Linked DNA regions of Schizosaccharomyces pombe. The protein of the gene in region 1 binds, or shares a complex with, the protein of each later gene. Each region holds a gene or a part of one and is shown on either strand. Other genes may lie near its edges. A codon is read from its position in the direction of its gene.

What was found.
Region 2: the proteins of tif224 (region 1) and tif223 are in contact, whole or in part, in a crystal structure (PDB 6JLY), measured with the Schizosaccharomyces pombe proteins. Residues at the interface, in NP_594503.1 of Schizosaccharomyces pombe: Thr133 (codon at 2,161), Thr134 (codon at 2,164), Glu135 (codon at 2,167), Lys139 (codon at 2,179), Asp140 (codon at 2,182), Ile141 (codon at 2,185), His142 (codon at 2,188), Pro143 (codon at 2,191), Ile146 (codon at 2,200), Arg147 (codon at 2,203), Leu150 (codon at 2,212), Lys151 (codon at 2,215), Asn154 (codon at 2,224), Lys172 (codon at 2,278), Ile173 (codon at 2,281), Asp177 (codon at 2,293), Tyr178 (codon at 2,296), Gln179 (codon at 2,299), Phe409 (codon at 2,989); in NP_594962.2 of Schizosaccharomyces pombe: Ile30 (codon at 2,199), Leu32 (codon at 2,205), Gln33 (codon at 2,208), Ser34 (codon at 2,211), Ile35 (codon at 2,214), Pro36 (codon at 2,217), Glu38 (codon at 2,223), Phe39 (codon at 2,226), Asp142 (codon at 2,785), Asp161 (codon at 2,842), Arg164 (codon at 2,851), Leu165 (codon at 2,854), Asn167 (codon at 2,860), Lys201 (codon at 2,962), Ser303 (codon at 3,309).

The regions. Positions count from the first base shown.
Region 1 is NC_003424.3:4,255,972-4,260,322, forward strand, and holds tif224 (translation initiation factor eIF2B delta subunit tif224), read left to right. Parts: upstream 1-1,728; 5' UTR 1,729-1,764; coding exon 1,765-3,168; 3' UTR 3,169-3,812; downstream 3,813-4,351. Other genes in the region: cyclophilin family peptidyl-prolyl cis-trans isomerase Cyp8, read right to left, coding at 1-181, 247-1,161, 1,302-1,513; iba57 (iron-sulfur cluster biogenesis IBA57-like protein), read left to right, coding at 4,130-4,324. UniProt on the Schizosaccharomyces pombe protein: Acts as a component of the translation initiation factor 2B (eIF2B) complex, which catalyzes the exchange of GDP for GTP on the eukaryotic initiation factor 2 (eIF2) complex gamma subunit.
Region 2 is NC_003424.3:5,365,437-5,369,878, forward strand, and holds tif223 (translation initiation factor eIF2B gamma subunit tif223), read left to right. Parts: upstream 1-1,968; 5' UTR 1,969-2,111; coding exon 2,112-2,260; exon of another isoform or gene 2,261-2,329; intron 2,330-2,384; coding exon 2,385-2,655; exon of another isoform or gene 2,656-2,778; intron 2,779-2,781; coding exon 2,782-3,223; exon of another isoform or gene 3,224-3,264; coding exon 3,265-3,407; intron 3,408-3,478; coding exon 3,479-3,850; 3' UTR 3,851-3,942; downstream 3,943-4,442. Other genes in the region: amidophosphoribosyltransferase Ade4, read right to left, coding at 1-525. UniProt on the Schizosaccharomyces pombe protein: Acts as a component of the translation initiation factor 2B (eIF2B) complex, which catalyzes the exchange of GDP for GTP on the eukaryotic initiation factor 2 (eIF2) complex gamma subunit.

The DNA of each region.
Region 1 (4,351 bases):
CCACTCTTCGAATGGGTCTACAAATATTATGATGTCTTCAAGCTTGATTGGTAACTTGGGGTGATCATTACTGTTGGTAGGGACTTTTTCAAGAGCATCCAAAACATTTAAACCACCGACAACTCGACCAAATATTGTATGTTTATTGTCCAAATGTTTCGCTGGTCCATACAATATAAAGCTATAAATCAGGTTAGCACTTGCATTTCTTTGAAGCTTTTAAAAAATAGAGAAGAAAACACTTACAATTGACTTCCATTGGTATTTTTTCCACGATTGGCCATAGATATAATTCCACGATCGTCATGCTTTAAAGGGTTACAAAACTCGTCCTTAAACGGCTTGCCCCAAATACTTTGACCACCTCTTCCAGTTCCACTAGGATCACCTCCTTGAATCATAAATCTAGCAATATTGCGATGAAAAATTGTATTACGATAATAGCCCTGCTTGGCAAGCTGGACAAAATTGTAAACAGCATGGGGTGCATAGTCTGTATGCAACTCAATATTAATTTCTCCGTGATTAGTAACAATACGCGCGTATCCTTTGTGCTTGATCCGCGTATGGTTAAGCATATAATCTTCTTCAGCAATAATTGCTCTTTCATTCTTCGTTACAGGAGTAAATGATGTGGAGGTTAAGGAAGCTGCAGCATAACCAGTTGTATGGGATGCGCGATGAATTGGCATATCAGAAGCTATAGATTTAGATGAATCGAGAGAATGCGATAACTCAGGTGATGAAGTTGACTCCGTTGACTTGGCGCGAGATGCTTGTAAAGCAATTTTGGCCTTGGTTATTTTTTCATCTCTTGCGGTTTCCTTTTGTTTTTGAATGGCCGAAAAATCTCGGTTCTCAACGTTATGAGGATCCTGGATGGTAATTATGTCGTCTCTGGTAAATTGCTCTTCGTTCACGAGATCCCTCCAATGTTTTGGTTTTATGTTCAAACGTTCAATAGTATCCCAAGAAAAACAATTCCCTGTAGAACGGATAGCCACGATGTGTGAAAAGCGCGTAAAGCTTTTCATCGTAACTGGATCACAATACTCTTCAGCACTGTTTTTTGCAAACTTGAGCTTTATTAAATCTGACATTGATGCCTTTTGTCCATTAATAGGATTAGTACCATGTTTTCGAAGCCAAGGAACAATAAATCTAACACATGTTAGCGCTCATCACCACTTTTTTATGAAGAATGAAAGATTTCCAAAAGCAACTAGATTAGTTGGTAAACAAATATCATTTAATACCAAAAAATTTGCTTCGAAACTCACATCTAATAGTGATTTACATACCTAAAATCGAAAATAATGGCTTGCTTGGTTTCATCCACAAGACAACAAGGATGGTTAAAGGGCTGCAAGGAAAGAGAGCAATAATTAAAAGGAAGTTGTTTGTAACTTGTGGTACTGTTCTTTTGGGCTATGCCACTCATACCACCATGCCACCCATGCACACCCGAATGCTCAGTTTGTGTAATGTACAGTTTGTCTGTATTTTTGCCCATTCCTGTTAATAAATATCATAAATACGTTTGTACGGTTATAAAAAATAAAAATAAAAGTTCTTAATTTTATGATATTTTAAGGCGATAAAGTAATTAATTTCTAGTAATATATATGCGAACTACAAGTATACGTTGTCGAATAGCGTTGGTGTAGTAAGGGTAAGGTCACTAAGCGCACGTTGGGTGTTATAGCTAAACTCATCTACGCTTCTACCAAAACAAACCAATTTAATAGAAATATTGATTTTCTGATGGGGTTCTCAGCAGAACAAGCAAAAAAGGATGGGAAGGATCAAAGCCCTGTTAGTGAAAGCTCTAGTGTGGGAGGAACATCTCCAGCTACAGCTTCTTCTGTCGTTTCTCCCAATGAGCCAAAACTTTCAGGGAAGGAGGCAAAAGCGTTGAAAAAGGCCAGAAAACAAGCAAGTAGAAGAGCAAAAGCCGAAGCAGCTGCCGCGAATAATCCACCCGGTGTTTCAGAAGAAAAAAAGGTAGCTATCCCTAATAAAAATAGTAACCAACAAAAGAAGGCATCGAAACAAAACCCGCAGAATAGTCCAGAAACTGATGCTAATTTGCAAGAAAAAAAGATTTTTGAGGAAAAGCAAGTTTCTATCTTTTCGCACCTCGATTGGAGACGTCGTAGAACCACTGAAAATATTCCGAAAGATATCCATCCTGCTGTTATTCGTTTGGGTTTAAAACTTGCAAATTATAAGATTTTTGGATCGAATCAGCGCTGTATTGATTTGTTGAAAACTTTTAAAATCGTCATCCAAGATTATCAAACACCCTACGGTACGACGTTGAGCAGGCATCTGACCACGCATATAAATTCTCAAATTGCTTATTTAGTATCAACTCGTCCGTTGAGTATCAGTATGGGGAACGCCATTCGCTTTTTAAAACTCGAAATTTCTGTTTTAGACATTGACCTTACCGACGACGAGGGAAAAGAATTGCTTCTGGAAAAAATTGACAGTTATATTCGCGATCGTATTATCATTGCAGGACAAGTCATCGTACAAGCAGCAACCGAAAAAATACAAGACGGAGATGTCATTTTAACGTACTTGCACTCTTCGACAGTAAACGATGTTCTCATTCATGCTAAGAATGTTGGTAAAAAATTCCGGGTTGTCGTGGTAGACTCTCGTCCAGAATTTGAAGGCCGGGTTTGTTTGAAGCTGTTGACCGAGCATGGGATTGAATGTACCTATGTCATGATTTCAGCGCTTTCCTATATCATGCAAGAAGTGACCAAAATTTTCCTTGGAGGCCATGCTATGCTTTCGAATGGTGCTCTATATTCTCGTGCCGGTACCTCTTTAATTTCCCTTTTGGGACACGAGTCTAATGTTCCAGTAATAGCGTGTTGCGAGTCTTATAAATTTACTGAGCGCATTCAATTGGATTCGTTGGTATACAATGAACTTGCACCTGGCGATCAACTTGTAAACATGGGTGTGGATGACTTTGAAGAAAAACCTGGTGTACTCGCAAATTGGAAAAGTGTTAAGAACTTAAAATTACTCAGTCTAAAATACGATGTTACTCCACCTCGTCTAATTACTGTATGTGTTTGTGAAATGGGGCTTTTACCTTCAACCTCGGTACCGGCTATCATAAACGAGTTCAAACAGGTTTATGCTTAATTTCTCTAATTTCCTTTTGTTTTTTTGTTTCGTCCACCTCAGAGGTAATTTATGAGCATATCCATGTTTGCTTCCTTGAAGTACCTTTCATTTTCCCTTTGTTATTTCTCATTCCTTTCTCAATGCTTGGAAGATTTGGTTTGTGTGAAAATAAAAAATTCATTATATTTAAATTTACAAAAGTTCATTGTTTACTCTTTTCTTAAAGGAACCTAAACTGTTCTAATTTTTCCATGTAGATTATATATTGGCATTTAAATTGTCTCAACATGATTTTTGACATATTGGTATATCCAAGGGGAGCTATTGGCATGGTTAAGAGTAATGATGTTCTTTTGTTGTATTAATGGTTAATATTTGTAGATGAAATGAAATGAGCAGGGATCGTACAATGTCATTTCATCACTTCATTTCCGGCTATAGTATGCTGATGCTTCGGATATATCGGAGAAAACTTGCAATCTCTTTTTTTTTAAGACACAAAATAGAAAGCTGTTACTCGATATTCAATTTTTTTTTTTTTAAATTATAGAACTGATGTTCGAAGCTGAAATAAAATTTTGCATCACAAGCTTTACGCTTGATGTCAGCTTATGATCTAAAACCTGTAATAATTTAAGAGCGATTCTAGTAATAAACACCAGAATTAAATATTATTTTTTTAAGAAAAGGGAAATTTTGTTCCTCATCGAAGAAAATTCATCTTCAGTATGTTTTGACCTTAGGTTTTTTTCCTACAGTGATATTACTGTATTGCAAACAAATAATAATATATATCTTTATAATATACACTAATAATTTTGCCATATCCTCCTTGGATTCCCCCGAAAAGTAACAAAAACAATGTGATGCGAAATCATCATCTCAACCACTTATCGATTTTAGAAATTCGGTTTACTGTAAAAGAGTCCTATTCTAGCCTCAGGAAACCAAGTGAATTCAAGTACTTTACCTATGGGCAATGAATAGGTTCACCGTTAGGAGCAAGTTTATAAAGTTCTCATTCCAGCTATTTAGAAATTACAGCGTTTGTCTAAATTCATCGAAATCTCTCATTCGTGTTGAAGGAGTTGATGCAGTCAAGTTTCTTCAGGGCTTAACGACCAACAAAATAACTTTAGATAATCCTGTATACACGGGCTTCTTAAATACACAGGTAAGGAGCTTGCGGTGTTGGGTTTAA
Region 2 (4,442 bases), 1.1 Mb from region 1:
AGCAACACATGCATAACCACCATTAACGCGATCGTATACATTACGCAAAGCTTCGAAAATATCATTTTCGTTTATACGAAATTTATCCAACCGTTGAAGCTCGTAAGCAAAGATGTTAAGCAAAAGCTCAGAATCAGATCCAGTGTTTACATGACGATGGGCCTCAGTGTCCAAAAAGCGTCGTAATTCGGGTCCATTAATTAAATTACCATTATGGCCCAACACAAGACCATAAGGAGAGTTAACATAAAAGGGTTGTGCTTCAGAGTGAGCACAACTTCCAGCAGTAGGATAGCGCAAATGACCAATACCCATACTACCTACGAGTTGGCGAAGTTGATGCTGACTAAAAACATCGGCAACCATGCCGGATCCCTTGCATTGGTAAAGACGACCTTTGTTTCCAGCGGTTACAATACCGGCGGCATCTTGACCCCGATGCTGCAAACTGTAAAGACCCTCATAAATTTCAGGACATGCCTGTTGATGAGGGTCAGCAAGCATTAACGCCAAAATTCCGCACATTTTCTAAAACTTGTTAGAGCTTCGGTTGTGAATTGAATACAAAAGATAATAAAATGATAGGTTTAAATGTACAAAAGAAAAAACAGCACCCAGTCAAATTGCTATAACTTGATTAAAATAATATGAGTCGGACTGTTCTATTCGGACAGCAATCAAAGTTTGAGAATACTTGGAATATAATTTCAATTTTTTTGTACCGACCGTAAAATGAGTTGTATGTTACCATCACAGAAAATAAAAAATTTTAATCAATTAAGCAGACCTCAGAAAACCTTGTAGCTACATAAGATGAAATTCAGAAGTCTAGCATCTAAATAAACGGTAATCATCATAGGCAAGTACTGCGGCGTTGGAAAATCAATATCTATATTAACTTACTTTTTAAAACGCGTACGAAACAAAAAAAAAAAGATTTTCAGGTACGCGCTGAACAAACACCGTAGTTGGGTATATTGTTAAGGCAAAATTTTGCTGCCGTATAAATTAATTTATTGTCCGCCTTAAATGATAGTGAAGTATGAGTCGAAACTATGACTGCTCAAGATTGTGATGAACGATTCGCTAAATAGAAGCTTAAAGAGAGGTGGGATATGCGCACGTTAATATAGGTAACAGGTATAGCTTGCTACTTAGCTGACAGGGTAGATGATATTAAATTGTTTGCTATTTTTGTTGCCAAAAAAAATTTTTTAAGCTTAAAAATATATCTTTAAATAAAACCTTCTTATATCAAAAAAAATTCGATGAAGTTAAGAGTGGTGCAGTGTTACAGTAATGCCGCATACACATCAACTTATTATTGAGCTTTACCGGAGGTATCCCATTACTATTTATTTGTTATAAAATCTTTCAATGTTCTGGTTTTTCTTCCTTCTTTACTCGGTAGTTAACAACAATACATTAATCACCGAGATGAGAGCTATGGGTAATCTAATCCAAAACTTTTAGTTCAACTTGTTACGATTGCAGTAGTCCAATGGTTTTTAAACTTAAAAAACTAATGAAAACAATACACAATGTACTGTATCTCTAATCTTCTGATTCCTCAAAATAATAGTTTACTAACCGGCTTCAAATATTTGTTCCTTAATTGGTGTACAGAGGATCATTTTCTGAGCGCTTGATTGATATTTTTTACTATCGGATTGATTATAAACCAGGATCGCGAAAACGTACCGATTTATAAATCGTTGATTATTAAAACATCTTTTTTAATATTGCACATTAAACAAAATTACAAGTGCAAAGCAATAATTAGTTTTCAAGCAGCTCCACATTTTGAGTTGGTAAATCATTTTAAAAAAAAATCATCAATAGTTCATATTTCATGAATACATTTTTCTAAACACAAATATAAATTCAGCACATTTTTATTTCAGATAGTGATGTGTAACGTGTAAACTTTTGGCTCGTTAGTAGGGATCTAGGAAAGTAAGGTTTTCCATCTTCATCAAATATTGGCGTACTGCAAAAAAACCCAATAATTCGTCTTCTATCAGGTTATAAAAGATTTTGGCTTCAAAGCATCCTTTTAGGTAAAAACCTTTTGTAAAAGCATCCAACGCCTTGAAGAACAACATCTCACAATGTCGTTGTATGAGCATGCTGCACTTCCTTTAGCCAGTAGCCCTTCAATCCTTGGACCTATTTCTGGTGGACGAAATCGGGGGAATATTCAATTACAGTCTATTCCGATTGAATTTCAAGCTGTTGTTTTTGCAGGATTTGGCAATAGGTAAAACAAACAAGTGTAGTACTGACTACTTAACGATTTGGATAATGATGACTTCGCACATATTATCTTCATCAACACTTAAAAAAGATAAAATAACAATAAGAAAATACTAACCATGTTTTAGTTTATATCCTTTGACTGGAAGCGATGCACTTCCCAAGGCTTTATTACCTATCGGCAATAAACCGATGCTTCACTACCCATTATATTGGCTTGAAGCTGCTGGATTTACTTCTGCTATTCTTATTTGCATGGAAGAAGCGGAAGCCCATATCAATGCTTGGTTACGATCTGGCTACGAGGGACATATGCGTATTCACGTGGAAGCACCGACTATTTTAGATGATTCTAAAAGCTCTGCCGATGCTCTTCGTGCTGTATCCCATCTTATAAAGGTATGATTTATTTTTATGTATAAGTAGATATGCATGTGTTCTTAGACTTTTTGATCTTTTCTCTCTCATTCTGCAATTTAATTACTCGTCTTAAAGTCACAAAAAATGCTAACCGATACCCACCAGAATGACTTTGTGTGTCTCAGTTGTGATAGTATAGTTGGTCTCCCTCCCATATACGGTTTGGATAAGTTTCGCCTTGATAACCCTTCAGCACTGGCTGTATATAGTCCAGTGTTAAAATATGAGCATATTACAAGTCAATCTAAAGAGATTGATGCAAAACAACTGATTGGAATTGAAGAGAAGACGAGCAGACTATTGTATGCCAAAAGTTCCGCAGACGTGGGCAGTGATTTTACATTTAGAATGTCTTTGTTGTGGAAACACCCAAGGGTTACGTTAAATACAAACCTTTCGGATGCCCATATATTTGTATTTAAACACTGGGTTATTGATTTGATCCGGGAGAAAGAATCTATTTCTAGCATTCGTGGAGATCTCATCCCGTATCTTGTTAAATGTCAATATCAGAAATCCTTTACTGTACGAGAGAACATTCAAAGATGTAAGTGCTTTTTTTAATTAACTATTTTCTAACAATTAAAGTTTTGTCATCTCCTAACAATATTGATAATTATGATGGGGGATTATCCTCACAGGAAATTAAAATTAATGCTTTAATTGCCAAAGATGGGATTATTTGTTCTAGGGCTAATAATTTACCTAACTATTTCGAACTTAATAAATGCGTATGTTTTCGAAAGCTGAGCTTCATCTCGCTTTTTAGCAGTTTCATCCAATATCTCTAACAGCAAACTAGATCGCCAAACTTACTCCAGAACAACGCCTTGTAGATGTCACCGTGTCCGAAAGAGCACTGGTCGGTGCCGATTGTATGGTGAATGAAGGTACCACCATTAAGGATAACAGCAACATTAAAAAGAGCATTATCGGTAAAAATTGTGTAATTGGAAAAGGGGTAGTGGTCAGCAACTCTATTTTGATGGACAACATTGTTGTTGAAGACGGAGTACGTTTAGAATCTTGCATAGTCGCCTCAGGTGCTCAAATAGGCGCTAAGTCAAAACTTCGTGAATGCGAAATTGGCGTTGATCATCGCGTTGAAGCTGGCCGTATCGCTCGGGGTGAGCGGCTGGTTGATATGGAAAAAATTGAGACGGACATGGACTAATACTGTGTATCAAACCGTTGTCAGCCAACCTTTTTTTTGAAATAGATATAATAAAAATTTCGTGCACTTACTCTACAAAGTGTGTCTAAACTAATCAAGGTAAAGGTGATATTAGTCAGGAATTTTTAGATTAAAAATATATACTCATAGATCAATATTAGCTAAAAGCGAAGGGGAATAAATTACAGATGAAAACGCATGTACATATATATGCAAAAAAGTTATACATATATACAAGGTTATACACATATACATCTAAAAAAGTTCATATCGCTATGGGTTAGTAATAACTCGAAAATATTTAAAACAAATAAAATAACCAAAAACTTTAGCACTCAGCGATCTTGGTGATAATAAAAGAATCATTTATTGATCATAAGCAAATATTTCATCAATTGCAAAGCAGAACGGTTATTTGTTTTGAAAATTAAATTGCCTTACCTAACGTTCATAAAAAACAGGACGTTCTTTAACTCCATTATTATAATATTTAAAACTTAAAACAGTTAGCAAGGTATTCGTATTAACAAAAGCAGTTGATGTAATGGAAATCAATCAGAAGATTATTTGTCGCATACTGATGGAGCCCATA